Linked DNA regions of Lepisosteus oculatus. The protein of the gene in region 4 interacts with the protein of the main gene of each other region in a pairwise test. Links are inferred from orthologs where the notes say so. Each region holds a gene or a part of one and is shown on either strand. Other genes may lie near its edges. The genes, in order: glyctk, fam168a, ncs1a and dtx2.

Region 1 (8,000 bases), on a different chromosome or scaffold from region 4:
TACGGACGCCAGCCACACGAGTGAGAAAGTGAAGGAACTGGAGACAGACCTGAGATCCCCAGCGCACAGCACAGCGTCAGCCCACAGTGCCCAGCTCTGTCCTGTCCAGCAGCCAGTCTCCTGTGATCTGCTCTGTCCAGCAGCCTGTCTCCTGTGAACTTCTCTGTCCTATATAGTCCAGCAGCCTGTCTCCTGTGATCTTCTCTGTCCTATATAGTCCAGCAGCCTGTCTCCTGTGATCTGCTCTGTCCAGTCCAACAGCCTGTCTCCTGTGATCTGCTCTGTCCTGTCCAGTCCAGCAGCCCGTCTCCTGTGATCTGCTCTGTCCAGCAGCCTGTCTCCTGTGATCTGCTCTGTCCAGTCTAGCAGCCCGTCTCCTGTGATCTGTCCTATATAGTCCAGCAGCCTGTCTCCTGTGATCTGCCCTCTGCTCTGTGCGGCTCAGCTCTTATTGACTGAGGGATTAATGATCGACAGGCCAGCTCTGATGTAATGCTTTGCTGGACCGGGCCAGTCCAGTGAGAACAAACCGTCTTCTGCAGGTGGCTGCTGCTGCAGGCCCGGTGACACAGCTGGGCGTTCGGCACCTCCCTCGGGGGACGGAAGTGAGCCCGTCCACCCTGCTGTCCGGGCTCCGGAGCACGAACCCGCCCCAGGCCGCCCCATAGCTGGGAGCCGAAGCTCCATTACTCTTTAATCGGAATGGACAGCGCGCTATCTGCCCCCAGCTCAGAGTCCACTGAGCAACAGCCCAGCCCCTCCCCCCGTCTGTCTGCGCCGTGGGGGGGGCGGTTCTCTCCCAACTCTCTCCCCATCCCCCCCCCCCCCCAGAATGATCCGAAATCTAAACATTTTACTTGGGGTGCGATGAAAGGGACTGATCTTTTCTCCTGTCGGTGAAGGCAGTCTGTGAGCCACAGCCAAGGCCTGGTTTTCCCGGGCTCATAAAAGATCTACAGGTGAGGAGCAGACTAGATAATAATAATAATAATAAACTTTATTTTATATAGCGCCTTTAAAGGTGGCTTCTCAAAGCGCTTTACAGGATGACAATAACAATAAATAAGAAGACTACAACAATAAATAAGAAAATTTCACAAGACAGGACACAATTATAATTACAACAATACAACAATAACAATAGAGGAGACCGTGGAAGATGGTATTAAGAAGAGCAGAGGGGTGAAGAATGGAAGCAGTTAAGTAAAGGCTTTTCTGAAAAGGAGGGTTTTGAGTCTGGATTTGAAGGAGTTTAGAGAAGGTGACTCTCTAATATCCTTGGGCAAGGAGTTCCAGAGCTTGGGGGCATAGCAGGAGAAGGCCCTGTCGCCCATACAATGTAGACGGGCTTGGGGGACAGTAAGGAGGGCAGAATTTGAAGAGCGGAGGTTGCGAGGTGGGGAGTAGGGCGATAAAAGTTCAGACAGGTATTGAGGTGCCAAGCCATGTAAAGCCTTGTAGGTGAGCATGAGGATTTTAAAGTCTACGCGGAATTTGACCGGAAGCCAGTGCAAGGACTCCAGGATAGGAGTAATGTGAACACTTGCACTAGATCTGGTCAGGATTCTGGCTGCTGAATTTTGGACATACTGCAGCTTGTTCAGAGTAGATTTGGATACCCCAGGGAGCAGAGCATTGCAGTAGTCAATTCGAGAGAATACAAATATGTTGATCAGCTTTTCAGCCACAGTTAATGATAGCATAGGGCGTAGTCTTGCGATATTTCTAAGGTGAAAAAAAGATGTTTTGACAGTATGCTGTACATGTGGGTCGAATGTTAAGCCAGAATCGAATATAACCCCAAGGTTTTTCAATTTTGATTGGAGCTCAAGTACAGAGCCATCTACAGACAGGGTTACAGGACTGGCTTTACGAAGTTGATGGGGGGTACCAATAAGCATGACTTCAGTCTTGTCACAGTTAAGATGAAGGAAGTTTTGAGTCATCCAAATTTTAGATGTCTGCCGGACCCCTGCTGAGCCACACTGCAGCTGCCTGCTGGTGTCCTCACACAGGTGAGCTGTGACGACTGCCCCACAGGGTCAGCCCCCATTCAGGAGTCTGTCTAAGTCTTCCTGCAGACGTGCATGTTAGGAATATCATAACACGAATATTAAATATAAACGCTCTAGTCACTAAAGTTTAGTTTTACCTAATCTCCTTGAAGCTTGTTCCTTGAAGGTGGTGGAGGGGAGTCCCCATTACCTGTAAAGCGCTTTGAGGGGAGTGTCCAGAAAAGCGCTATATAAGTGTAAGCAATTATTATTATTATTATTGTTTGAAGAATTCCAGCAAGTTAGACGAGACCTTATTTTTCTTATCCCACGCTCGACTCCTGAAGTGTCCTCGTTCTCTCAGTCATACTCCAATCTGTCTCCATCTATAAACTCCGTATCTCTCCCAGCGTCAGGCGCCAGACTGCCTGGGCTGTCCCTCGGTCCGTTTCGTGGATCGGACCCCGGGGAACTGTTCTTTACTGCCCCGGCTCCTCTACGCCTCGGGATCAATCATGCTAAAGCGAGCCAGTCCTGCGGGAGATCGATAATGTGACATCTTCAGCTACAGTCTGTGTGAACCATGTGACAAACCCCCTATTATCTCATAAGCCACTCGCTCAAGCCTTTACTGTCCTAGAAGTGGAAAAAGTGGTTCACAATACTGTTTCGCCCCCATTGCAATATTTCTTTCTGTCCCCGGCTTGGCGATTCTAATAGTTTTTCAGTTGCTCCGGTACACTCTTTTTCCTCCTCTCAACCTCCTGCCCTATCACGCACGCCTGCTGCGTGGGGCTCTCTTCCTCCCGAGTTTTTTTTGTTTTTCTTAATATCGCCATTAAACTATTGAGGCACTTGTCCTGCCAAGCAACTCAGCCAGGCCCCGATATCCCTGCCCCTCGCACTAAACGGCACTGTCGCGGTCCCCCGAACAAAGGCGTCCGGCACGCAGGTGCACGTACCAGCGCAGCAATGCCATTTCATTCACGCTCGATCCCCTCGACTCCTCATATCCAGCCCCCCGTGAAATGTCCGCCCGGTTGCATTGTGGTACCTGTAGTCCGGCAGGGAAAGGGGGCGCTACGGCGGCCGGACAGGGCCACACACACACACACACGCGAATCTCGCAATTCACTGCGCTTGGAAAGGCAGCGAACGCCTCCCTTTCCCAGCGCTCACCCGGCCGGAGGCTGCAGCACACAACCTCGGTTTAGACGCGGGCTCTGCCTTTTAAAGCGCCTCTGCGCTCACAGGCCGGCGAGCAGCGCTCGGCCTCGGGCTTCCGATTGAGCCTCACGTCGCGAGGGGGGGGCAGCCGAACGCCGAGCACACAATGGGGCTCGTGCCCGCTTGCGCTCCCCCCGGGTGGGGGGGCGCGCGCGTGCATGCGTGCGCGCTCCTGGCGGCGGCGGCAGAAGGCGGGGCTTCCTCGCGCTCCTGGTGCTCGAGCGTGTCCCCGGCGGTTTTTTCCTTCTGCGTTTGAAAAGGAGGGAAAAAAAAAAATCAGGGTTGTTTTCCCGGGGGGCGAGGGCGGGCGAAAACCCGACGAAAAAGCCGCAGTTTCTGTTTCGGAGAGGAAGGGGGGGGGGATTTGACGCCGCGCCGGTTCCCGAGAAGCAGAGGCCGGAGAGGCCGCCGCCAGCGCGGGAGGTCATGAAGCTGACGGATAACGTGCTGCGGAGCTTTCGCGTCGCCAAGGTGTTCCGGGAGAACTCGGACAAGATCAACTGCTTCGACTTCAGCTCCAACGGCGAGACGGTCATCTCCAGCAGCGACGACGACTCCATCGTGCTGTACGACTGCCAGGAGGGAAAGTGAGTTCCCTTCTGTTGTCTCCGGCGGGGCGTGGGGGGGGCTCCTCGAGGTGAGGCCTACTGCGGGCGCCTCATCCCCGGGCTCGAGTGAAGCGCCCTGCCCGGCGGGACGGGGGGGACTGTACCGCGGGTGGCGGAGTGTGTACAGTTGAGGGGGGGGTCTCTTTTATTGAGCGTGTGAGCCTTTGAATGTCAGTCTGCATGAGCGTACGTTCCCCCCAGCGCAGTGATACGCACGCTTTACGCGCAGGTTGATGTAGCGTGCTCTGTGAGCTCCGTAGGGGCAAATGCGAAGGGGGGTGTTTCACGGAATGGGTCCCCTCCTGGCAGCTCTACGTGCGCGAAGGCTGCAGAGCCCTGACGCCGGTTTTTGTGTGTGTGTGTGTCGCGCAGCGCGGCCTCCCCGTGTCCCGGCTGCTGCGGCAGCAGTCACGCGTGTGGTGGTGTCAGGCTGCAGTGTCGGATGAGAAGCACCCCCTTTTCTTTTCTGTCCTGCTTCTCGCGTGTGCGTGGGCTGGTAACGCCAGTTGAAGTCCACCCACTGGTCATCGTTAAAAGCCTCGTAGCTAACGCCGACTTGGGTGTAGGGCGGTATCGAGTGCGCAGACTTCCCTCCTTCGCTGTCGCGGTGGCTCAGACACAGTGGGGTGGGTCAGGCTGCCCTGCGGTGGCAGCGTGTCCGTGTCCGTGCGTGGGTAACAGGGATGGTCGATCTCATTGCGCTCGCTGTCGCTCCGGCTGTGTTCCAGGCCCAAGAGGACCCTGTACAGTAAGAAGTATGGTGTGGACCTCATCAGATACACGCACGCAGCGAACACCGTGGTCTACAGCTCCAACAAAATCGACGGTACGTTTCTCCTTGAACAGCTTGCATGCTTAAGTATTGACACCCTCTGTCTTAAGTTATCTAATTCAGTAAAACGGGCTGACACCCCTATCCCTGAGCCTGGGGACCCCCCCCCCCAATCTTGAAGATTGGGGATGCTGTGTTTTTCTTGCAAAACCCAAGAGTTAAAAGGCAACTTTGTGTTTTGGAACTTGAAGCGAAGCTCAAAATTAAGTCTGTTATGGGGTGTGTTTACTAACTGCTTATACTTATATCGTGCTTTTCTGGACACTGCACTCAAAGTGGTTTACAGGCAGTGGGGATCCCCTCCACCCCCACCAGTGTGCAGCCTTTGCAAGTTTTTATTTTGGGATGAAAAGTTGCAGATTCTTATAAAGGGCAGTAGGAACTGGAAAAAAAGAGATCGAATTAATCATATTTAAGGGTTTAGTTATGTAACTGATGGCTCATCTGGAATGAAAGTCTGCAGGGTTGGGGGTCCCCTAATTTACGGTGACCATTGAGACTTGAATTGGGGATATTCTGGACTAGGGTAGAAACTCCCGCATCCAAACTCCTTAGCTGTCAAACATGGGGGAGTCCAGCAGTTAGTTCAGTCATCGCTCGTCCAGTGAGAAGATTCCAGTGGAAAGATGGAAGTCGGTTTAGATTACATCCCGGGAAACGTTGTTTATGTTTTGCAGAGTACATGTTATTCAAAACTGACCACAAACAGAAAAAGGAGCTTGTACAACACTGAGGAGAGGGGGATATTTAATGATTTTGAAAGGAGAAAAAAAATGATCCGACTGTGCTGTCAGTTTACGCGTGAGGAGAATGCAGCCTAGCTTGTTCCTGCAGACGGGGATCTCAGCCTACACCCGGCAGTTTCAGGGTAGTTCTGTTTTCTTATTTTGGAGGTTTGTGTGTACAGCTTCCAAACCAAGTTAAGAAAGGAGCATTGTGTTTATCAGTGAAATTGCTCAAGGGTATCACTTCAGGGTTACGTTTTTAATGCAACACTGTTGCAAGACAAGGGAGTATAACTTTGTGTGGTTCGGTGGAGCGACAACAAAGTACATTTTATGTAAAATAACTGTTGTCAGCTTGTGTGTATCTTCTTAGGCTGCACCCTTTCCCCCAGATCCTAACTGTCATAGAGTTAAAGTGCTAGAGAAGGTAAACGATGCAAGTGAAGCCTCTGGGCTGGGATATTTTAACTGAGGTTAATTATGTACTGTAGTGATGAACGTGCAGTTCTGTGAGTATTCTCCACTGCATTTCTGTGGAACTTATACTGTAGGCCTTCTAGTAATTGCTGGGTCTCAAGTTATCCTTGGGTGTTCGAAAAGCACTATTGTTCTGGGGGTCTGTTTTTTAAATCTGGGGTTCCAACCAGTGCCTGCCCCCCCCCCCCCCCCCCCAGATACCTGTACAGTGAGGCTACAGCATCTGTCAGAAAAATAATGGGCTTCGCTCATCCACCTTCCTGCCGTTTCCTCTGGCTTACAGAAGTCTGCTGCTGCCTCTGTTTAATACCTTTTCTTGTCAGCAATAAAAGTTCAATCTGTTATGTTTTATAAGTGGAACAAAGCGAGCTCTGTACTACAAGGTGAAGCCTTAAAGCCTTGGAAGGAGAAAAGCCTTCAAGAGCTCTGACATCCTTGACATAGCATAGCAAGCTTTTCTGAAAGCTTTTCTACTGGAGGCCAGTGCTATTTTGTGTCCAAACTATTGCAGCATTATGGGGTTTTAATGCTTGTCCAGTATATCCACACGCTGGAGTACTCGCCGCAGGAGTTGAAGGTTACTTCAGTTCCATCAACCCCCCCAGAAGAAGAGACTACAGGGAGGACGGCTTGTGTCCAGGTCTGGAGGAAGCCCGGGGGTTCCTTCGAAGGAGTGCTGCTGACCCCAGCCTGCCCCGGGCTGAGGTAGTTGTTTGTACAGTTTGAGGGTCTGTGATACCACCCGGTAATGGAGCTAACTGTACAGGCCACTGCCTTGCCCGGGGCAGCGCCTTCGTCTCCGGCAGCCTGCAGCGCCTGAACATCGTATGGACTCCTGACCGCCGGCCGGCGCCGCTGTCTCCGGCCGCGGGAGCAGCGCCACAACAGGCCGCTGCGTCTCGTATCCGCGGAGCCCGCGACTCCCTGCCGGAGTGGCCGTGGTTTTTCTGGAAGGGAGCAAAGCCAGACTCCGTGTGTTACAGACTCCGAAAGGAAGGTCCTACTCTGCCGTGAAACTGCAGCGTCTTTAGTGTTTAATAACGTTTTGTTATGGGGGCCTTTAATGTGCTGAGGCTTGCTGGGAGAGTGGGGGGGGGAAATGGCTTTTATTGCATCGTGCAAAAGTCTGAGACATGTTGTAGTGTAGTAGCCTTTTCTCTCGATGCTCATTCTCTGTGCAGGAAAATTAAGTGGTAAGACTTTCCCTGACATTTTATCCAAGTTATTTTAAGATGACAGGGATGTTGATAGATCAGTATTGTATTGTAATACTGATTCAATCTTTTTCTTTGATAGACGTCAACATGTGTTCCTCCCCAGACCTTAAAATGAGGCAGTCAGATCCGAGTGGTAGATGTGATAGATTAGCTACCTCAGCACTGTGTGTAGTTGGCTTTGAGGTGTTGAGTTTTTTTTGAAGATTTTGATGAGTGTGAATTAAAGATTCATAAATGACAGTCTGGGTTTCTTCTCGACCCAACAGGACTGCATGGGTAAGGGCTGTATTATAGTAGAAAATGCTGATGTTGATCTTTAATAAAATAATACGCGTAGATTGTAACTCTGGATTGTGTCTAGTATGTTAAAGAGTTTTGCACGGGACACAGTATCTTTATAAAACACCACAGGTACAAGACAGGCTGCACTGCTCTGACACTGAATTAGCCACCTTCTTCTGGCCTGATCAGAGGCAGAGCAAGGGGATACAGATTTTCCCTGATTGACATTAATAAAGAGTACCCTTCCCATACGAAGATCCCATGAAAGTATGTATTTGTTGTGCTCGTGTCATAATTGCATTAAGGCTTTGTTTTTTTGCCATTTTCAAGTGAGTTTTTATGTTTTAATAACTCTCTCCGTTTCCCTTAGACACCATTCGGTATCTGTCGCTCCATGACAACAAATACATTCGCTATTTCCCTGGACACAATAAGAGGTGAGACTTGGACTTCTTCGCTAATTCTAGCTGGGAGTGGTTTGATGTAACAAAACTGGTTGTTCCAAATTAACACAGGTTTTCCTCCAGCAAAAATCTGGCCTAGTTCTGCTGTCTTTGCTCTGTTTTATTGTTAGGTGTGTTGATTGCGGGCATGTTTACTTTGATGTGGAGAAATTACTTACTGATTATTCGGTCGGT
Region 2 (7,930 bases), on a different chromosome or scaffold from region 4:
TTAAAGGTCTGTGAATAGACTTTAAAATGTCTATTCATATATTATAAAATATGAATCCAAGCTCATCTTTGAAGAACACTGAAATGTTGGGCAGCTGGCTCTTAAGAGCACGTGTACATAGGTTTATATATTCATTCACATGCATTTGCTACTTCAAAACATAATTATATCTAAATTAAGAATTCTAACGTAAAATCTACTGTCAGAAAAAAATTCTACTTAAAACGTCAACAGTAACACAAAGCATCTCCTTTAAGATTTTACCTTTGACGACCAGTTTTACATAGCGCCCTCTTGTGTTTCACTAAGGATGCAGACAGCTGTCAACTAAGCAAGTCTGACAGATCTGTATGAACAGTACAAACTAATACTTTTCCAGACTTTTCTTAGCTAGTAGTGAGCAACATAAAAATATGTTCCCATGTACTTGACTGGTACTTCAAGGGAATGCCTCACAAAATCAAACACCTGCACCCAATAATGCATTCATTACATTACAATAATGACAATCTCTGATCACCAGTATTAAGTACAGAAAATTGCACAGATTCCTAATGATGCACAAAATCAAAGTGTTCTGAACCAAGCCACCACCTGTAAGTACTTGTCTCTTTTGATACAGCCAGTGTCAAAAGCAATTTCTAAAAACAATAGACCTGGAATATTTAAAATAATACTGCCTATAAAAAATAATCTGCCACATATTAATGATGTTGTGAAGACAGATCTCAACCTTACATTTGCCTCCCACTCCGACAATACCTACCTCACTATTTAACCATCCTTAACGAGGACCGTTAGCAGTGGACTTCAAAGACAATACTAATTGTTTAGCGCCAATCCAGTATTTACAAGGCAGGCGCACAGATAACTATTCAGCAAACCTTCCCGTGTGAAGAGGTTTGTCATGAACTAGGCCTTAGAAGTGTCAGCCACCTCTCTCTCTCTCTCGCACATCACCTAAGAAGGACTGTACGTGCCGAGACTCCCAGTAACTGAGCGATTAAACAAAGAGGGAAAAACATCAGCTGCGTGTTATGGAGCTGCATTCCAAGACAACAAAGCATCCTGCTTTAAAAATCACGCCTGTTAGAACACGCCTCAGAGGTGAAACCAGATTCATTAATTTCCGTTCATTACAATTCAAGTTACCTACCAGTTCTGCATCTGTGGCTGTAACCTGGAAGTTACAAAAACAGCGTTGGGTTTTTTTAAAAGATAAAATATCAAATATTGTACCCCATTGTAGTTGATTTATCTTTTCTGAAACTTCCACGCAATTAAAATAAGTCATTAAAGGAGAACCTACGATTCCAAGTAGTGAAACGCAACAAAGGTCTTACGATCGCACTGATTGTGTGCAACGTACTGGAAAAAAATGTTTTAATATATATATACTTACAAAACACTTGCAGTAACTTGTCGAAGGAACCCGAACTCGTCTATCACTGCGACATGTTTCAAGTATTTTTCGAGGAACACCTCGTTATTATGCAAAATGTTTTTTAAAAAAAAAGCACGATAAAGGGGCACGTGGTTCCATGATTTACTAGTTAATTCATTGTTGCCTCGCACTGGCCTCCTTTACCAGAACTGCAAATAATAAACTAGTTCATACTATACAATTAAAGCACAATCAATCACTACACAAGGATGCCCAGTGGTATGTAGACGCCATAGAGCAATCGTGTGTTGTCCATCAAAACCCCGTAACCTAACTTAATGTAACATCGTAAAGAAATTAATGTTTTTAACAATATTAACTCAATCTTCAGAGTCAAGGGAATGTGTTATATACTGCCACTGAATCAACGATGACTAGCTAGATGATCACTTTGCTGACATCCTCGACGGTTTTTGACGTAAATAAATGTGTTCCCTATTACATTGTTTCTCAAAGGTCGAAAACATTTGGATTTAGAAATGTCACAATTACATAGTCCGCGGCGCAGTTGACGCCAACACGTAGTAATAATGTATCCTACATCCCCTCTGTTTTCGTTTTGAAACAGATCTTCTAAACATAGTGTTTACTAATAAAAAATATGTATCAATAAACTCCAGGTATATGTTTAAATGCTCGAAATAACGCAAAAAGGAACCATCGTAGACGTTGCAGAAGTATTTTCCTGACCTCCTTAAAATACTAAAACGCACTAAAAGAAAAAAAAAAGGTTTGTCTTAACATCTGCCCTAAATTAAAATAAGACTGTGATGCAGCCCTGCTCTGTTCGTGTTTTTTTTTTAGCGATGGCTTCGCCTTAATGGCATATCTGTTTTGTCTCCTTAATCTTTATGCACCATATTTCTGGGAGAAAAAAAAATGCAGCACTCAGAAATCCACTCCGTTTTAAAATGGTCACACACGGGCTCCCGACACCATTTTGAGAAGCACCCTCCTTCAACTGGGATGAGGGCACGGAACACATTTTGTAAAAAGTCTACCCCCCAAAAAAAAGTCAGAACACGGACAATTCCATTGCATTCATTGAACATTTGCATCTCTGTGTATCCCTCAGTGTGTACAGTATCTTCTGCCTGTGTGTTAACGTGATGGAAGGAGAGCACACAACACGATAGCTAATGTCCTATAAGTAATATATTTTTTTTTTAATTTTTGTGATCGTTATGTCCTTTATCCCCCTCTGACCCCTCAATGCGCGAACCATTTCCATTTCTCATATTTTCCAGTTTGCATGACTGCATTCCAGGTTTGGACACTTAAGAGGGGAAAAAAAAAACGCATTAGCAGGATACACACAGACCATCAACACACAGCGATCCTCTCTTACCCGTGGTAATCCAGTTGGATTGATCGACTTTATTCCCAGTTTCCTCTGACTCTTTCCGAGCACTACTGTGTTGTGCGTATTCTCCTTTCTCTCTATGAACGCTGGCGGTTTCCTCCTCTCGCTCGCTTTGCTCCAGCGATTTCGGGCTTGCAGTCAGTGTTGGTAACAGAGACACACGCATACACAATGTGGGGGATGGGGATACCGAGAGGCGAGGGAGGGGGGAGAAAGGAGAGGAAGGGGGGGTCAAGCAAATTGGAGGAGGACCTTTTCTCTGTGACGTCAAATTACACGAACAAACAGAGACTGTTCCCCCCTCCCCCTTCTCTGTCCCTTCGCGTATCATGGCGCACACTAGTGACGTGGTCGTGGACATGGGGGAAACTAGCGCCTTTCAAGCAAATTGCTGTGTGCATCATTTTTAATCAGTGGGACAATGACGTTGAGCTTGTTTTTTTAATATATGACTTTAGTAGTCTTTCTAGGAGTGTTTCAACGAGACGCTGTTCTTTTTTATAGCCTGGGAAATGTCCTCCCCGAGCATGAAATTAGTTCGTTTTGCGACGAACAGCCATGTTATATATGTGTTACATTTTAATGGCCATTTTGTATTATGTGTCAGAGGATCCATGACGCGGGCGTGATCGTGGAAAAAAAAAAAGAACCACGTCCCGGGTGGATGTTAGAAGACATTGTGTTCTAGAACAGGGGGCTCCTACCCACTCGAGCTTTTCTTTTCATTGAATCCTTCATTGAACTAGCGAACTGCTTGGCTGAAACCTTTGCAAGTTATTTATTTCTTCGCAAAAGCTGGAAGGGGAAACAGTTAATGGGTTCACGTAAATCGTGTCAATTAGGGGTTCGGTTATGTGACTGGGAATGAAGAACTAGGATATGTAGGACCCAATACTTTTTGTATGTAAAACCTGAGACAGAATCTAGTAAGGAGGACACAGGGTGTAGACTCTTTAAATTCACCCCATTTTTGGCCAGATAAGTGATCTACTTAACGTTTTATTGTCCTTGAGAGCTGAAACAAATTGTATTAATTTTATTTTATCCATCATCATCATCAATCTTGGATGAACGTATACTGCACCAGCGGTCACATCGCTTATGGGTTGTGCTTGCAGTGGTCTTTGCAGGGACAATATCAATTGAAAAGCAGCCACCCTCTACGACTAGGTGCGCCAGCAATTCATAAAGCAGATTGAAAAATAATATTTCTACCGATCCTTTAAATACGTTTGAAGCAGAGTGCACATATTTGTAATATCTGAAAATACCAAGATGTGTCTGTTATTATCTCATCCAAACATGACCAATGGGGTCTGTTGCAGAAAAGAAATACTATCAGACTAGAAAGCAAGCGCAGTGCCCAGGTGAGACAAACCCCGACGTTTTCAGATTCCGAGTGGTTATTGGGAGATCATAAACAGTTTATTAGAGCAATCAACTGAACTCACAACACATCGGGCAGATTTTAAGAGCAGATCTTGAGCACTGCTTGAGCGTGTGCTCGCTCTAATTGATTTAATCAGGACTTAATACCGTAAAAAATCTTCAACATCGTTTAAAAGCAATTCAGTTAATCTAGACGTGAATGTTTTGATTAAGTTTAGCAAAAAAATATGCAAAACTGAAGCCACGTTTGACCTGACTCAAAATATTATGACATAGATATGACGGTAAATTTAGCTTTTTTCAGGCTTTAGAGCCACAGAAGACCAATATTGCGTTATCACCCCTGTGTGGTCAATAATGGAAGCGGATTTTGAGACTTATTTCCTGCAGAGGATTCACACTGTAACGGAATAGAATCAATTGCCAGTGTGTGTTCTGCACAGAAAATCCACAGTCCCTTTGAGCATATTTAACTTTTGTCTATTTAAGATTTAATTATAAATCCAGTAATGACTTCAAAACACACAGAGTGGCGTAAAGTGCACCTTTTCTAAAAAAAAAACATAATCCAGGTAACTCTCTATGGTGTTCATTAATCTCATTATTTTTGGCAACGAACGAACGGTTTTGGCAATTTCTACGAGGTCTGAGTGAGCATTTGGTGAGCGTCCTCTTGTGGCAGAGATGTGTACTACAAAAGACAAATCTTCATCACTGTGCTAAAGGCCTAAACCCTTTGATCTCTTTATTTTGGCCCGCTGCCCAGAAATGGATAAACGAGGCAGACAGCCCACAATTTTATTCTCTATAGAGACCTCCGAAGTCTGACCTTTTCGTTTGTTCAGGACATCAGACGTTTGAAATCAAGCAAACCATAGATATCCTGAAAGAATAACCAGATTCACTGCAGGGGACATGAGTCAAGGATACATTTGATAAGCTGCAAGCTGTGGCTGTCTGTGTGTCCTGAGCCTACCACAGATCTGACCGCTGAACAATTAATAGCACTTGAATGGCAGCACTGATTACATTAAGACATTAAGATATCATACTGACTAGGTGTAGACTCCCTGAAGATTTAATACATAAGTCTTTTATTTTGCAGCACTAAATCTGCAAAACGTATGGAAGATTACAGTAAGATACACATTTAGAGCCTCTTGTGATAAACCATCTAATATTCTATGTCTTTATTATCAACCTCAACACACAAGGTATTTCCAATGATATAAACATCTAGTAATTTAAACTCTCAGGGTAAAATAGCCCTTTTTTCTGCAAAAAAGAAGGAATAATAGTTCACACTGCATGTTCTGCACTGGAAATGAAATGGTGTGACAGTTTGCTAAAACAGAAGAACTGGATTTGTAGTGTTGGAATACTTGGGAGTCTTCAGTGTTTGGTACCTTGTTGTTAAAAAGTGTGGTAAAACTTCATTTACAACAGCTTCAACATATTGCCTTGTGGACTCCAGTGATTCACCGGTCAGATAGTGCTCTTTTCTTATTTTTGCAGAGCTGCACTCTTGATTTGCATTAGGTTTTGCCGCACATCGATTGGCCTCTGCTTAGTTTATTCATCATTTTTCCATTCTATTCAGCTACCTTGACTATAGAAATAGTTCTAAAATGCCCAAATGGAGCAAAATAGTAACAGATAAAGTCATCAAGAATGTAGGAACGTGGTCATGTGAGTCCAGTATTTGTGACAACCTGATGAGTCATTTGAATTGTATTAGTCAGGGATTTACAACATAAGAGCTTAATGACCCAACCTTACAAGACTTGTCTTCTTTCTGTATCTCAGGTGGTCTCTACTGTACATACAGTGCATGCTGGGATTTGTATTTGTTTAAAATTACTTAACTTCATCTTCATATCTTTCATAGTCACGTCTTTTTTTTCCATTTACTGTAAGTTCCATTTTATTTCCAAACCTCATAGCCTACAAAACCTTAAACAAAAACTACACTCTGAGTTACATCCATATAAGTAACTTTTAATATAAAATGCAATTTTAAGAATGCCTAACACTTTCCATGGATTGAGTGCTAATTTAATGTCAGTTTGATTCACCGTTTCATTTATTTCATGTTTCATACCTAGGTCATGTGCCTCTGGTTAACATCCATACCAGCTGCACAGAGGCATTTACCAGATCTACCTTCCAAAATATTTTACATCAACATGCAGTCAGTGCAATAGCAAAAATGAGAAATGGCCCAGCCTCTCCCAAAACAAATGTATTGTAAAAGCATCGAAATAAAGTGTGTCTAAATTAGGGCTGAAATATATGATATTATTGTTGCTTTTAGGTTTAGTGTGTATGATCTACGGTTAGCAAGGAAATCTAAATGGAAGCTCTAAACAGAAGCTCTACGTCGGTTCTAAATCTGGAACTTGCGGAGGAAGACCAGGGCTGTTTGTGCAGGAAAGTTCCAGGCTTTTCTCAATGTCCACAGGCTAATGCAGGTCACTAATCCCGCATTATCCCACGTGTCAGCAGCGAGATTAAAGGGAGCCTCAGAGAGACCCAGAAGAAAACAAAGAGTCGCAGTCTTTCCTTCTCTGGGACCATTTCCCCGATTAGCAGAACTGTGCAACCAGGGAGCAAAACCCTAGAATAGTCATCAACATCAAAAGGAGATCTTCCCGACACGTTTTCCCACTGTTCATCGTCACACTTTAAAGGCGACGTTAGGTATAATTTCCCCAGATGGCTCTCATGAGGTCAGGATGGCTTTGGAGACAAAGTAAGTGGACATTTGATTTATCGTTAACTGTCTTAACTGCTTTGATTAGTTTTCCTCTAGTTGAAGTGTATGATGCTTAATTAACAATAGGGGACAGAACATTATTGCTCTACAAGCTGTAAGAAAACATGAAGTAGTACCACAAAAAGAAATAGAACATAAAGTTCAGATAATGTAAAACAACTCGAATAGAGAACTCTATACTCTAGCAGTGCGGCACATGATTCCTTTCAAAGTAGTGTTTTTATAGATAAACCAAACACGAGGGTTTTTTAAATACCAAAAATAAGAATATAATTTTTGAAAATTTAATTCATGTAAATTTTGTATACAAAGGTAAAGGCTGACACAAGATATGTTTTGTAAGGATGAATTATATACTGACAGACAATAAAAACACATCACGTGCTATTGGTCCCAGTACACATTTGGTACATATTGTAATGCCTCTCAATACAAACAAAGTTACAGTAGTTATACAATGAAAGGATGTGAATAAGAAAACATCAGTCATACTACTTTTGTTATTCCTATAATGGTCATGAAAATCCAGTTATCAAAGGATGAGTATTTTGTTATAACCTTGGGAAGGGTGATAGCTCCATTAAGTTTAAAGGAATGTAAAAAATGAGGGTCATCAGTTATGAAACCGGCACCCTTATGACCCGATGCTAATCCTATTACTTATTTGTGACAAAGGCTGAAGAAAAATATTAAAGGAGGAAGCCAGCCAGCAACATCGCCCAAAGGGATGGAGATTACATAATTTTAGTAATTTATCAAGAAATAGACTAGTGTGTGGCACGATGACGCAGTGGCTAGCATTGCTGCCTTGTAGCACTGGGATCCTGGGTTGCAATCTGGGTGGAGTTTGTAAGTTCAGCCTATGATTGTGTGGGTTTCCTGCAGGTGCTGTTATTTTCTTCCACAGTCCTAAGACTTACTGTCAGTATAACCATTGTCCCTGGGGTGTCTATCTGCC
Region 3 (7,231 bases), on a different chromosome or scaffold from region 4:
GGGTCTTTCGGGATTGGCCCCACGCAGGAGAGCTGGGAAACCGGCCAGACCGCCAGCGCACCACCTCAGCGAGACCGAACACCCGTCTGGGTGTGGCGACAGGACTGGAGCCAGGGGACCTTCTTCCCCAAGAACTGCAGCGTGGCACTCCAGAATCCCGCTGTGGTGGTGGAAGTGGCATGCTGCCTCAGGGTGCGAAAACCACCAGAGGCTTTGCAGCGAATTGCACGTTAGCGCAGTGTTCAAGGGACAGCTCAGGGGACCGGATAAGCACTGCAGCGACGTAGCCGTCAGTCGGGAGGCAGTTTGGAAAGATCGCTCCTCTGCTTGAAGGCGCTGCATAATCAGATTCCTGTCCTTCTTTTGCCACATCAGTCAGGTACAAATTCTTTACCGCAGTCGGTTTGAGTCAACTCTCTTAAAAGTGTGGACGTCTGTGCACGCTGCAACAATGCATCGTTCATCAGGAAACACCCCCCAGTGAAACGCGACAACGGTTCGGACCGGTCTCGGCTGTGGACCTCCCAGCGCGCACTGACATGCCAATGACGGGAGTGTTGTGGAAGCATATTTATTAAAAACTCGAGAGTTTTCTTTTTTTTTTTGTTGTTGTTGTCCAGATTTACAGTGTAAATAGCTGCCGAAGTTTGGGCAGCGGGGAGACGAGTGTTTCTCTGGGCGGGATTTTCTGTGGGGAAAAGCCTGCCCACTCCCCCGCCCCCCTGATGTTTTTGACAGTTTTGCTCCGTGGCCGGCTTGAGATAGAGTGGAAGCATCTCAGCAGACGGCCAACACTGCTGGCTCTTCTGCTAACGCAGTTGGCTCGTTCCAGTTTCTCTCTGGCTCTGTCCTCCCTGCCTCCTGGTGTCCAGTCCGCCAGGTCCTGGGCTGGAGCAGAGGGCTCAGCCGCCCCCCCCCCACTGCAGGATGGCTGAGCACAGCTTTGAAATATACTCGTCCTGGAGCTCCATTTCACCCACACTGTAGGGGGCGGGCGGGGGGTGAGAAACTTGAAACTCGAAAGACTAATTTAATAATTTGCTGTGTTCTTCATGCTTCAAAAATTTCCCAAGAGTGAACCGTTTGCAGCGTAGAACTGTGATATTTTTAAAATGCTAACTTTAGATAAGAGAAATAAACTTCAGAGCTGCCACGTGTTAATTGTGAAGACTCTTTTTGTTCAAGTTTGTTACTTTGCCGATGGTGGTTTGACAGATGACTGCTCAGCGTTAACAATCCCAAACGGTATTTAAGCATTTCAGATTTTGTGTGTGTGTGTGTGGGGGGGGTGGGGGGGTTCAGGCATTTTGACGTTGTTGTGCAGAGTTTGTTCTTTATCAAACTATTTTATTGATGGAGTGGCACAGCGGCACAGTGGTGAGTATTGCTGCCTCAGCGCTGGGGTCCTGGGTTCAATTCCTGGGGTGCTGTCTGCATGGAGTTTGTATGTCCTCCCACAGTCCAAAGACGAGCTGGTAGGGTAATTAGCTTCTGCAAAATTGGCCCTGGTGTGTGTTCCTAGCTATGGACTTGTGTCCTATCTAGTGTGTATCCCTCCTTGCACCTGCTGCTCCTTGGGATAGACTCTGGGTCACTATGACCTTGAATTGAATAAGCAGTTATGTTGTGTTCCACCTCATTCAGATTAAATGAATTAACTTTTGGCTGTACTTGCTGTTTGCTGCTGTGTATCAGTCAGGCTGGATTCTAGAATCCAGAAGTAAAAAAGGATGAGTTCAGATGAGGTCTGCACCCCGGGCAGCAGGCCTGTCCTCTCAGTAGTTAGGCTGCTGTGTGACATGTTGTTCTTGTCTGCTCATTAGTAGTCATAAAGGTTGAAAGGTCGAAGGTCAGCAGGCTCCTTGCATAGTGCGTGCTTTGCACAGCATCTGTGAGCATGAACGTGCATTCAGACCACCCTCGATTGTTTAGCTAGGTACTGAGAATCGACTTCAAACTAAATCCTGAGCACACAGATCTGCTTATATTTGCTCCATGGCCCAATAACATGTCTCCCGAGTGTCGTTTTGCTCTTTTGTCAAGTCAATCGAACCAATCTTGACTGACATGACTAGCATTCAGATGGTAGCACACGCAAGGCTCTTTTCTTACATTCAGAACAAGAACGCCGTATAAATATTGATACATTCGGTTACCGTATCCAACGATAGAAAACAAATTGCAACAACAAAGTAGCTGAAGGCCACAAATACGTATTCTGAGATGTGTGCCAAGCACAGTTGAGTTTCATAATTAAACACGTGCCTTTAGGCTCCATGCAAAGCCCTTTCTTACTGTGCTTAGCTGAGCTAAACAGGAACTTAATTAAAACGGTTTCTCATGCAGCAAGTTTTGCAGCTAAGCATCCGTTTCCCTTTATGTACAGATTTTCCACTTTCCCACAGGTGCCAGACAGTAGCGTACTGGCGCACTATGGCTGCTGTCGCATCATCCAGGTGGGGCTGCACATTGGTGGCGGAAGTGGGATGTCCCGTTACCTGTAAAGCACTTTGAGTGGAGTGTCCAGAAAAGCGCTAAATAAATGATTATGAATAATTAAGCAATATAAATTTAAATTCATATGCATTAAAAATAAAGCAATTAATATAATAGTAATAATATTATAAACAGTATTTGCCTTTGAGTAAGACATCGGCACGCTTAAAGATAAGACAATGTCCTGAAGACGCTTCAGTATAGCAAGTGCTTATAAACTGGATTTATATCGGATAATTGCTAAAGATGAACATAGGTTTTAAACATAAGTGATGTTGTGAATGCACCATTCAAGATCATGCCTTCAGAGAGGCTGTGCAGGTGTCTTTTTTTTTCCCCACTTCTTGCAGGGCAGAGCATTTGGAATGCGGTCAGTGTGCAAGCCTGAATCAGACGACAGGACACAAGAGGAGTAGGTTCCTGACTTGCATACAAATACCCCCTCCCCTCCCCAGCTCTGAAGCATCCCATCCTCTGTACAACCCCCCCCCCCGCCACCTCCTTTCCCGGCGCTCGGATGATGTGGAGCTGTGCTGTCCGTCACGTCTCTTAGCGAGGGGATGCGCTCCAGGTAGCTCCCCACACAAAACATGTCTCCGCTTAATGACCGACACCGTGTCTCCAACACCCCCCCCCCCACGAAACATCTTGCTCTCAAACCCCCCCCCCCACCCGTCGCAGCCTGCAGTACGGAAGAAATTCGATATCGCTCTCGCGCTGCAACGATGAAGTCATCCCTCACCCAGAACCCTTGCAGTGAACTCCCGCGCTGCCGATGTCCCTGTCCGAGGGCGGATCGCGCTCACCGCCGCCGTCCCGGCTGGGTCCCTGGCCCACAGGGTGCGGGGGGGGGGGGCGCAACGCTGGCGGGGGCTCGCCGGAGGAGCGCTGCGGCGCAGAACCGCCGGGGGGGCTCGGTTTGAGCAGCAGCAGCAGCAGCAGGTGCCAGAGACAAAATAAATCTTTTTTTTTTTTACAAAAAAAAAAATCTTATTACATCTCTAAATGAGCAGGAGCGGTGGTATTCTAAGACATTCTGCTGACAAGTCCATTTGTCTCCCCCCCCCCCCCATCCCCCTCCTTTACGATGACTTTATTAACGAGCACCATTAGAAGGAGACCAAGAATGTCCAGGGAGTAATTAACGGCAGGCAGGAAGCTGTGTGGGACACCTGCAGGGGCTTCTCTTCAGCAAGGGTCTAGCGGGGCGGGGTGTTTTAGAGGGGCTGTCGGAGATGTGACCTGCCTGCCTGTCGGCACGAACAGGTTCCCCCAACGCAGGTGCTGCACCCCAGAAATGGGAACAGGAACGGGAGCTCCGTTTGTCTGCTCCCTCCTGTTCCGTCCTATCATTTTAGTTCTTGTTCCTGGCAGGTCGGGCCCCAGTGCGTCTCGGTCCCCCCGCGTTCGAGAACTGGAGAGACCTTCTCTCTCCGAAGCAGTGATGGGTGACGAGCCTGTGTCTCTGACCCCTGTGCGGATAACCATGACGACGATTCGAAGGGCAAGAAAGGGCGTCTCTTTAAAAATGCAAACTGATTAATTGATCAATTGATTGATTTCATTTGCCCGGCCTTGGTTTGTCTGCGTCTCTCTTGTCTCAAAGGGGGCCCTGTTCTAATTCTCTCTGTTTTGGCCAGTAGGAAAAATATGCTGCAGAAACACCCAGAAGGATCTTTCTTCCCTGCCCAATCTCACCAGAGATGCAGGTGCAGCACCCTGCCAGGGGGCAGATCCTGTATGGGCACTACCCTCGGTACCCTACCCTCAGCCTGGTCAGGTGACCATGTACCCAGACCTCGCCCCGTGCTCATGGCTGCCAGTGATCCAAAGACGGAAGGTGACCTCTGACCCCAGGATGACCCCAGGTCCTGAAGACGCCTGGCTGTATGTGCAGGTGAGTGATCCAGGGATCCTGACTCTCCTCGATTCTGGGCACCCCCTTAAATTAAGGCAGGCCCTGGGTTTATATCTGGATCCCCCCCCCCTGCGCTACAGCAACGCCACTCATTCCTGAGTCCGGGAGGGGCCACACCTCTCTTAAATTCTGAGACTCCAGCACCCAAGGTCCTGGGAGACATGGCTAAATGAGTCTGGTTGAGATAATAAAAAACGAGCCGATTTGGACAGAAGAGCTGCAGACGCACCGGTCCTCCTGGGCCACGATTGGGTATTCCTGTGCGATACTGCAGATGCACATGGCAGTGATGTTTTGCATATCTATCCTTGGCAAGACCTGCCTAGATACAAATGGCCGAGTCCTCAGGAGAGTCGACCACCATAAATCAGGGCTTGCTTGGTCGTGGTTTTCCATGGGGGGGTGTCTCTCCAGGGGTACAGACGTTCATTGGCGACCGAGGTCCCCGTGTCCAATTCCAGGGAGTCAGGAGACTCTTGTGGCTGTTCCCAGTGAAAGAGTCTGCGGCTGGCTGCCACCAAGGGAAAAATGGCTGCCGTTTTTGTTCAGTGGTATGTTCAGTGGCGGATCGGTGAGCTTAACACCAGGGCAGGGCAGGTCCGAGACGTCGCAGCTGTGAATGAATGTTTTGCGTGTCGCTTCAGCCGTGCTCTACCTTGGGAGAGAGGAAACGGGCAGGGGGGGGGGGAACGTTTCCGCCGGAGGAAGAAGACGGCTCTGAAAAGCTGGTCCTGCGAGTTGGGGAGTTCTATTTTTAACAAGCCATTACCGTCGGAGCCAGCCTGAGGCAGGGATGGGGATCGGCAGCACAGGAGCGATGAGTTGAGCTGGCAGACGGCGGGCGACAGGTGTGCGCAGCTGGGAGCTCGGGCCTGCGGTGGGCTGGGGGCGACGTCACCCGCGCGCCATCCTGGCTGACATTGGGGGTCCTCCTGCGCCCGGGGTTCCGGGTGTGTCGCGTCTCTGGACCCGGAGGTGTCCGGGATCGAAATCCGCAAGGGGGACGGAGCTGGGCACATCCCCCCCAGTCCCCCCCAACTGGGGTGCCTGCTTAATCCCCCCCCGAGCTGGTTTTAATGACTGCAGACAGCAGCTCCTGCTCAGCCTCCTCTTCCTCGGCCGCGATGCGCTCGCCTGGCCGCGCGGTTCTGGGCTGAGCGTTGTGTGTCGGAGGGGCCCGTGCAGATTGTACAGGGCGCTCAAGACGGCGGTACGGAGGGGGCTGGGCGCTACGGGGTCCTGACGTTTGGTACCCGATGGTCCGGGCAGCCGCATGAGGCTCTTCACTCTTTGTGGCCCCCTTGATGTCACGCGTGAGTGAGTCGACAACCCTGCTCCCTGCGCGACATCATCAAGACCTTCGGCAGGCAGCTCATGGACAGCGCCCGAGTCGCAACAGCCCCACCTAAGGCCATGGGGCGTTCGGGCCCGAGCCCTCCCCCCCAAAAAAAACAAAACAAAATGGCGCCCCGTCACGTGACTCTGCTGTCGGCCATCGATCTCCCGCCCTCGCCGGCTGTCGGGGTTCTGAGCGGTAAATCCGGCGTTTAGGAAGAGCGTGACTTGCTCCATAAAACACAGTGATTTAGTGAGGGAATGTCGGAAAGTCCTGGCAGCTCAGCAAATAAAAAGACGCTGGCGACCGTCCCCAGCTGGTGTTTCTCCGAGCAGTATCTCTGCCGTGTGGTTCAGTTCCTTTTCATCAGGGCCCATCTGTGCGGCTAATACACCTCCTGTTTGTGCAGCTTAATTAGCCCGTTTTAATTTTAAGCTGGGTTTAACGGGGGTCCCTTCTCCCCCCCCCCACCCGCCTACATTCTGAAAATAATAGGCTGTCAAACCCCGGGATATTTTTGGGGTCCTCTTTACGGGAATACTGCGTGTGGGCGGCTCTTGAAAATGGCACGCTGACGCGCAGAACAACTCAAAAGCCTTCCTGCGCGAAATCGGTTCAGAAAAAAAAAAATCTTTTTTTTTTCCTTCCATCAGCCCTGTTTTTATGTCGGGAGCGCTGCTTGCGTTCACAGAGCGAACAATGAGCGGGGTTTTAATATCGGCTTTGTGTGCGCCACTGAAGAAAAGAAAGACTTCAGTGCGCTGTGGGGAAGACACCCTCCCTCCACACACACACACTACGCCAACGGGCGTTGGGGGGATTAAGTGAAAGAAAAAACACGAATAATACACTTTTTATTAAAAAAAAACACTGGAGCCTGACAACCCTGGATAACAGAGTACGTGATGCCGCCGTCATGTCTCAGTGACCCATTAACCTAATAGGTTCGGGCTCCTGTGGCGATGAATACTGCTGCGCGTCGGAGAACTATACTCCCGGCCCGGGGACCCCTGTTCCTCCCGGGCTCTCGATCCGCTTGACCGCCATCTGACATTTCTAAGGCATCCGATACCGCCTCCCCCCCCCACTACATACAGGTCCAGGTGTGTCAACAATGCCCACGAAGGCAAGTTTTCTTGATCTCAAAACGCAGAAAACACCCGCTGCGTTATTGCTGAGGTATCCACGCGTTACATCGTCTCGTCGCCCACCCCCAGAACTAAGGCGAGTAAGTTACTCGCCTTGGGGAAACGAGCGCTCCCACTCGCCTCTCCCAGCCGGGCTGTCCGCGCTCGTTAGGGGCGCACGGCTGGGCGCCGGGCCGGGAGGGGTTAACTCCCAGCCCGTCCCCGGCCGGCAGCGGCGGGAGCGTCTGATGTCAGGACGGCGCTCCGCCTGAGGCTCGCTGGCAGCTGGCAGCGGAGACGAGGAGGGATCGGCGGTCGCGGAGGCTGGGAAGCGCTGGTGCGGACCCACTTCGC
Region 4 (7,770 bases):
TGAAGCATGCAGTTTGTTTGTTTTTCTTTCCTCATATTAATGATTTCAAATTTCAGGAACAAGAAACCAACCAAAAAATGACCTTTCAAAAGATGATAAAAATGCTATCTTCTGTTTTTGAAGACATTTTTCACTTTTTTTAGGCATATCAGAAATGGTTTTCTATATCTAAAAGGCTTAGGGAACTTATCTGTTGTGTTACATTAAGACCCATGCAATTATCTGCTCTGAGCACTGTCACTATTGTGCATCACCTATCGGTCCCAGTCAAAAGTTACCTGCTACTAGGTTTTTTCCACCCACACAATCTTTGAAACTCTTATTATCTAATCAGAGGTCAACTGCCTCACAAATTTCTGCTTCTACTCAGAAAGAGCCACATGGTCAGATCAAGCAGGACTGACCATTGGTATAAGCTGATGGTCTTTTTGGACAAGTGCTGTGTTCAATAGGACTAAAACAAGCCACAACACTAATCCTCTGCAATCATGGCACTGATTAGAAAAATCAAAGGACATTGGTTGTAATCCTGTTTCAACCTAAGGAAAGCAGAAATTACCAAGACCAATGCTGCAGCAAAAAGTAAACTTGATGGCATAAATGTTGGGGTCAGAGGGAGTCTTTTCCTAGGCTGCAAAATCTACACTTCCATCAATACAAGCTGCCTGTGCTTGCAGAATCGTCTCTTTCTAGTGTGCGAAAGGCTGCTGATCCCCACCAATAGACTGTTTTGGGCTTCCTGCTATGTTCAGATGCTGAAGTTAATGTAGTTTGGATTTCCTGCGGTTTTTCTGTAGCTTCCCGTCTGCACCAAGCAGGTGGCAGCAAGCACCCTGCTCCAAGCCACTCGTGTGCCAGTAACAAGCCCTCAGAACAAAGACGCACTCCAGTGCTGCACACTGCCTCCTCGCCAGCACACGCAGGCCTCTTTGTTTCAGGTCCTCTGTGCATTTACTGCAGTTTCCATCATACCTCCACCCATTCAGTGGTGAACTAAACATTCTGGGACTTTTTTTTCTTTTGCTAAGGAATCTTAACTAATTAACACATTTGCTTACATACTTCCTTTGTTGTCCCAGATAGGAAATATGCTCTGGGGGTAGGTAGAAGACATAATATAACAACACACAATACACTTAACACAACATGAAAGCATTAACAAGAAACATACAGTACATGCACAAGATGAGAACAAGTCAGCACCTTAAGCAATCTTCACCATTTAGAAAAACAAAGAAATTGGGCCATCAGATTTGGACACCATAGTAACTGATCTGTTTGAACAGCTGGGGTCCCTCCAGTGATGTGTGTGAAATATGCACTCTTGAGCTCTTCCCCACTGATGAGACTGCAGTCTGGTGATCTCTTGCCATCCTGAAAGTTACCGATGTCACAGGAATCTCAGCTGAAATAGATTTTATAGCTGAGAAATACGACTGGTTTATTATTTTTTAATTTCCATCCGTCTTTCAGCTTGCAGTTGGCTCTTTGATGGGCAAAAGTTAAAACTGACAAACACCACTCAGTAGGCCTATATTGTATAGCCTGCCGAACTAACTGCACTATTTTCTCAACTGAGCTGAAAACTTAGTAAAGGATCCTGCTTCCTTGTATACACTGACGCTGCTGTACCTACAGACGGGCACCATTGCTGATGAAGTGCTAGATTTGTAAGATTAAACACTGGAAATTTAAAAAAAAAACACACTGAACGTCTACAGAGCTAAAAGACATTGACAGAGTCATTACGTCACTGACGATTACTCAGTAACGTTGAGAAGAAAAAGGACGGGGAATCCCAGGAGACTCAGTCAATTCCAAATTACACGAATTGCCAAGAGAAAGGTTGGTCACATTCCGGCGCAACCCAGAGGCGCAGGGGCACTAACCAACGCTTCTAAATGAAGAACCACAGCCACTTACCCGTGTCTTGGCGAAACTGTTTCAGACTGGGGATGTCGATGATGTAGGGCGCCAGGGCAGGGTCAGCCTGTCCCAGGGAGATGCTGGTGTTCGCCGGCCCCCCGCCCCGCTGGGTCAGGAGGCACCGCTCAATGTACCCGCTCACTTGGCCACTGTACGGGCGCCAGTACCCCAGGTCGTCCGCCCACTCCCAGACAGCCACCGTCGGCTGCAGCTGCGCCGCCGAGCCCCGGTCGGCTGGGGGTCCCGACCCGCTACCGCCCGGAGCGGAAGCCGCCGCCATCTCCACCCGAGCCGGGCTGCGGTACAGACGGCAACTTCTCCTCCTCGGCCGTGCAAGACTCGCTGAGCTGGACTACGCGCTGCAATCATGAAACAGGAGTCGCAGATCACCGAGACCAGACCCAACTTGCGACACCGTCAACGCGTCCGAAACTGCTCATCCTTCGCGTAGCTCACTGGCAGATTAAAAAAAAAACAGCCTGGTTAATCGTTTAGGATAAAACGTCATTTAGAACTGTTCACCGGGTTAATCGTGTATTGCCCTTTCAGTCGAATGCATGCGATAAAATAGCCAGTGCGCTATTCACGACACCTCTGCCCTGTCGCCTGTGCTGTCCACAAGCGAACCGAACCGAAACTCAATTTAAATGGAAACAGCAAGTTACCCTACACGTCCTGAACGGCTGTCATCACTCGAGTGACTCAAGCACGCCACAGCCGGAAAATAATAGAAACTATTACAGCACGTATACCTAGATTTAAACTTGCTACAACAATTTAAACACCCAATACCCAACTTCAATGCTATCCATTCTGAGCTCCTGTCTCTGTAGCGCTGTAGCTATGTAAACAATTTACACAGGCAGTATCATAGGAAGTCTCCCCCTTAACTAAAAAAAACAACACAAATATACCATTAATAAAACGAAATGCAAAACTACAGCTTCCAACACAAGGCTGATTTCAAGGAATAAACACACGCGTCGTTTTGCGAGCTCTTCCGACAGCTGTACTAAACTCGTTTCCAGTTTTCTCACGGATCTCATATCGGAAACACCCGTCCGAGCTGCAGACAGAGGTTTCTGGGAACTGTAGTCGTAGAACTGTAGTCGACTGTAGTCGCAACGGCGCAGGAAAAGTACGTCACTGCTGTGTTACCCCCAGGACAGCGGTATGAGGAATCATGATAAATTAGGCTCTGGTGTTTCCAATGATAAATTACATATCTTTATTTGCTGTAGTTATTTCAGAACCCTTTTGTCTTTTCTTGTCCCCACTATGAGAGACATTAACATCTGCTACCAAAAGAAAAATAGTGTTAGAATAAGAGTTTTCATTCAATCAAGTGTGTTTTGTAACATCATGGAAACGAATTTACAATATAACAAGATAAAATTACAACTACAGAGACAAGTGTACACTAATTAACATATCAATTAATTAGTGTAGACTAAACAGAACAACATGCAAATTAAACAGAATTGAATTCAATTTTCCATTGAAAAAATGCATTTTAATTTTAGTTAAGACCCAGGCAGGTGAGATCTTAACATGCTGCAACTTGTTAAGGCCATGTTTGGATACATCAGCAAACAGATTGACAGCTACAGGGTAAACAAGGAGAGTATATGCTCAATCCAGTGAGTTTAGATGTAAAAAACCTTGTTGCATCTATTTGTTAATCTAATCTAATCAGTTTAAGAAGATTGTAGTATTTACAGATGTTTTGTCAGTACCTCCATGATTTCAAACACTGTATCAGCTTATGTCATAAAACAGTGCATAAAAAATCATCCTGCGGTCTTGAAACAAGCCTTTCCACATTCATTCTCATTGAGTGTTCGGTGTGTCTGGGTTTCTGGCGCAGATTAAATGACATCTGTGAATAAGGCTCCATTCAAGCAGGCGTCAGTCCCAGACATGGGCTCGCTCTGTCCACGTCTGTCTGCAGTTCCTGAACTTGTTTCCCTGCCCTGGATGGACGATTGAATAGCACTCACTGTGCAAGCCACACTCTGTCCACTTCATTTGCTTCCACAGACTGCAGCACAGTTCTGTGAACCCACACGTATCAGATACAGGGCTAAGGTAAGGAATATACTGTAACTGCGCACTAATTCCCACATTTCAGTGTGTCTTCACAATCATCTCTTTCTGAAAGGCTTATTCTAGGCATATCTATATCTAGGAACAAGTAACAGGTTTATTCCATGCTGAAAAAAAGAAGAAAGAGAACACAGCGTTTCGGCCGTGGAGCCTTCTTCAGGTATGAACTTCAGGCGAGCAGGCTCCACGGCTGAAACGTTGTGTTCTCTTTCTTCTTTTTTTCAGCATGGAATAAACCTATTACTTGTTCCTTTGCAGCCTACGCATGCTGACGCAGCTACCCACCTGAACTACTAATATCTATATCTATATATGGAAAACCTGGACAAACGCATTCTTTCATGGATGGTCTAACCTATTTCTGCAGATTCCTGCCTCAGAGATTTCAGGTCAAATGTTGCATTTTCAAAATCTAACAGACAGAGCAAATAACTAAACCCTATTGTATTGGGAATCTCAGGACACATGCATGGCTGCTCTCCAAGGAGTATTGCATAAAGGACAAAATGTTCATGCAAAAATCAGGAAAAGCAAGCACTGAGGTGTACAGGAAATAAAACACTGGGATGGGAACTTGAAAGATACGAAAATGCAGGAATAATGCCTGCTGGGAAAAGTGAGCAATGGCACAGAGGTTAGTGGGATATCTTGTTAGCTCTGAAAACAGAAGATAAACTGATTTTAATCCACAATTGTACAGTTCTCAATGGTATCAACCCAAATGACTACTTCAGTTATATCAGTAACTTTAGAAAACCTCACACTTTTGTTACATTAGCTTGAGAAACTGGAGTGTCTGTCTCTGAGCGATCCACAAATTTTAAAAAACAGGAAAAAAAGGAAAAACATGAAAGGTGGGAGAATGCATAAATTATTCATGTGTATGGCAGACAGTGATATTATTATCAAGGACTTTTAACTAGGTGGTAAAAATAGTTTCTTTACCTGTATTAGTGCTTTATTTTTATTTACAGCCTCCAGTCTCAGCTACGAAAGAGGTTTTTACATAAAGACTGATGTAGCTGAGCTTTAAATGTTGAATTAAATTCCTTACACCTCAGGGTGTTTTTTTATCTGACATTTGACTGAAAACCCTAGGGATGCTCTGACATGGGTTGTATCTACTGTACATATGGCAACTGCTCTGTGATACAGCACTACAATTCCCTGTGGTTTGCTTGCTTATATCACCTGATGCAGTTTCAAGTCTGCCCTGCTGTGTTAGTATTTCATGTACTCTATGGGGTTCTGCAGCTGTTTCTCCTGAGGTGAAGAAGATATTTAACTGTGAAATTGCATAAAGGGTTTGGGAGTACGATTTAATGTGTAATGGATGGACTGCAGAGCACTCAACAAAACAATGTAATTTTCCTGGCTGCGATGGAAACAATTCATTAGCTACATTTCTATTAAAAGACCATCGTAAGAGAAAGAAAGTACTTGTGGTTATTAATAACAGGCTATGGGAATGGGCCAAAGGAGAAAAATAAAAAACATCACTTTTACGGTGATTCAGACTGGGTCACTAGGGACTTATTTGTCTGTAAACAGCATCTGGAATGCAATCCCCGAGTTTTGCATCTCTCCTCTTAAAGCTCTCCTTAACAAATTTCAAGCGGACTTGCTCTCAGAGTTACTGGGCTTTCTTAGCCTTTGACAGCCTCTCACTCTCTCTGTCTGGAAGACAGTAATCCACAGTATATTATAGAAGCTGTAATCATGTTGCAGATACTGTAAATAAGATCTAGTCCTCACATCTTCGCCAGTTCAGTCAAGCATGGCTTGGTTAATATTTAGAAGTTGAATTTTTAAACTAAGTAGAGTTTGCATGTTCTCCCTGTGATCAAGTGGATTTTTTCAGAATCCCCCTTTCAAAATAAGAATAAACATCTGACTAACTAGAACTGTACTCTTTCACTTTCTTTTTGTGGGGGGAGGGGCTCCTGTTTTCACAGGGAATATTTTTTGATTATGGCAGGAATAGTCTGCTTCATTAAACAAAGGAAAAGTTGGACGCGTTACAAGCATAACTTCAAATATGTGATATATTGTTCTGTTAATAAAGGAAGAAAACAGATCTTGGCGATTATAACAAAGTAAACTTTCAAGTTTATTGGCTAACACACACCGAAATAGAATCATCAAGACCTCATAAATGTCTGTTGGATTGAACATTTTGCTAATTATCTACACTACATTCATACATTTTATGCTGGGAATCTTCATATGGTGTAGCCAGTTATCGATACACCTCAAGCGGTGCTGAGCTCATTTTGATTTCATCTAAGAAATCCCAAGAATCACCTCAAAAATATGTCTAGTCTACAGATTTACTTTCTCAGCACAAGCTGAACCTTTTACAAAGAAATAATTAGCCTCCCTTCATAATTCATGGAAGAAAATATTCTGAAGTTCTCAAATGGCAGATCAGGTATTACAAATTAAATGAATAAACTGATGATCATCAAACAAACTCCAGAGAAATTTATAATGGGATTTAGACATTTGACTATAGCTTTTTTTGTAAGCAGACGTATTTCCATTTATATGCACATAGAAATAGTGCTGAATGTTGGTTAAGGGGCTGGATAAAATCAATATGGATTTAATGATTTTCATTTTAGTAGATTGCTTTCCTCTACTGACAAAAGTGCCGCCACATTTTAAATACTGTACATTTCCTGCCCATAAAACTGCGTAAATATTTAAAAAATCTTCAATCTAGAAATGGATACAATTTGGGCTCAGTAATAAAGATATGACTTTAGTAAAAATATGTATGTGTTTTAACTACAGGAATCTGGTTAATCTAATATAATCCATCACTGGTTCACTTGCTTCATGATTTATTAAGGATGATGGAGAAATCAAAATTCGAACCTAAACCGTTGCTTTCCTCCGGCTTCAGATTTGAGATCTACAGTGAATATCACTCTTTAGGAAGCTTGAAATGCACACATTTTATGTAGCAATAACCCACTGCCCTTCATGACATCAGACCTCAGACCTCACCAGAGAAAAATGTGCTGTAGGATTCTAATGAAAAAAATTGTGATTGGTGTAGCCTTTTTAAATGAAATATTTTACTGCGCTCTACCTTAATATAATTGAAGGCAAAAGTATGACATTAAAATGGTGTAAGACGTACAGAATATAGCATACAAATAACCTCTTTAGAATTATAAGGATGAAAGCATATTACATTTTACACTATCATAAAAAATCAGGTTAATCACAATAAGGGTCTACAGATCTAACCCTTTGTTCCTCTGTTCTTATGATTAGAAGCAGACAGTGTGTCAGAGTAACTCCATGCACACTAGTTCCAGTCAAGAGTGGACACAACAGGCAGCCAAACTCCAGACAGTGAATCTCCAAAGGAAAAAATCCAACACTTGCATAGAAAATGTAATTGTATTTATTAAATATACTATGTTATACATAAAATGGGAATGCTTTACAAATTCAGACATCTTTATACATTTTTGTTTATAGCAGCATCATAAAAATACATAAGCCACTTACAGAAAGGACAAGTAGGACAAATGTACAAAGAAAACACCACTGCCTAGAACTTTACTCAGCTTTAGCTGATAAATGCTAAGACTATGGGCTACTACGTGAAAACTAGATACATACCGGTATAGTATAGCATCTACAGTACTACATTAACTGTAAACCGGGCAACAACAGATTTGGTAAGCTGCCATTAACAGAAGTAACAAGAGACAGAATTAC

Evidence for each region.
Region 1: the proteins of dtx2 (region 4) and glyctk interact in binary tests that used the Homo sapiens proteins (3 or more experiments, as listed by UniProt). The two-hybrid records come from large-scale screens. The link is inferred for Lepisosteus oculatus from reciprocal best matches to the Homo sapiens genes DTX2 and GLYCTK.
Region 2: the proteins of dtx2 (region 4) and fam168a interact in binary tests that used the Homo sapiens proteins (3 or more experiments, as listed by UniProt). The two-hybrid records come from large-scale screens. The link is inferred for Lepisosteus oculatus from reciprocal best matches to the Homo sapiens genes DTX2 and FAM168A.
Region 3: the proteins of dtx2 (region 4) and ncs1a interact in binary tests that used the Homo sapiens proteins (3 or more experiments, as listed by UniProt). The two-hybrid records come from large-scale screens. The link is inferred for Lepisosteus oculatus from reciprocal best matches to the Homo sapiens genes DTX2 and NCS1.

Annotation. Positions count from the first base shown.
Region 1 is NC_090699.1:65,861,595-65,869,594, forward strand, and holds the start of glyctk (glycerate kinase), read right to left. Parts: upstream 3,041-8,000; 5' UTR 2,957-3,040; intron 2,950-2,956; exon of another isoform or gene 2,275-2,949; intron 2,169-2,274; exon of another isoform or gene 2,153-2,168; intron 789-2,152; exon of another isoform or gene 50-788; intron 1-49. Other genes in the region: wdr82 (WD repeat-containing protein 82), read left to right, coding at 3,648-3,808, 4,558-4,655, 7,733-7,799.
Region 2 is NC_090700.1:9,520,375-9,528,304, reverse strand, and holds the start of fam168a (protein FAM168A), read right to left. Parts: upstream 3,024-7,930; 5' UTR 2,793-3,023; intron 1,489-2,792; exon of another isoform or gene 1,403-1,488; intron 1,178-1,402; exon of another isoform or gene 1,157-1,177; intron 1-1,156. Other genes in the region: plekhb1 (pleckstrin homology domain-containing family B member 1), read left to right, coding at 6,912-6,948.
Region 3 is NC_090719.1:2,513,977-2,521,207, reverse strand, and holds the start of ncs1a (neuronal calcium sensor 1), read left to right. Parts: upstream 1-4,172; 5' UTR 4,173-4,393; intron 4,394-7,231. UniProt on the Homo sapiens protein: Neuronal calcium sensor, regulator of G protein-coupled receptor phosphorylation in a calcium dependent manner. Directly regulates GRK1 (RHOK), but not GRK2 to GRK5. Can substitute for calmodulin. Stimulates PI4KB kinase activity.
Region 4 is NC_090721.1:2,532,138-2,539,907, reverse strand, and holds the start of dtx2 (probable E3 ubiquitin-protein ligase DTX2), read right to left. Parts: upstream 3,007-7,770; 5' UTR 2,841-3,006; intron 2,382-2,840; exon of another isoform or gene 2,286-2,381; 5' UTR 2,207-2,285; coding exon 1,924-2,206; intron 1-1,923. UniProt on the Homo sapiens protein: Regulator of Notch signaling, a signaling pathway involved in cell-cell communications that regulates a broad spectrum of cell-fate determinations.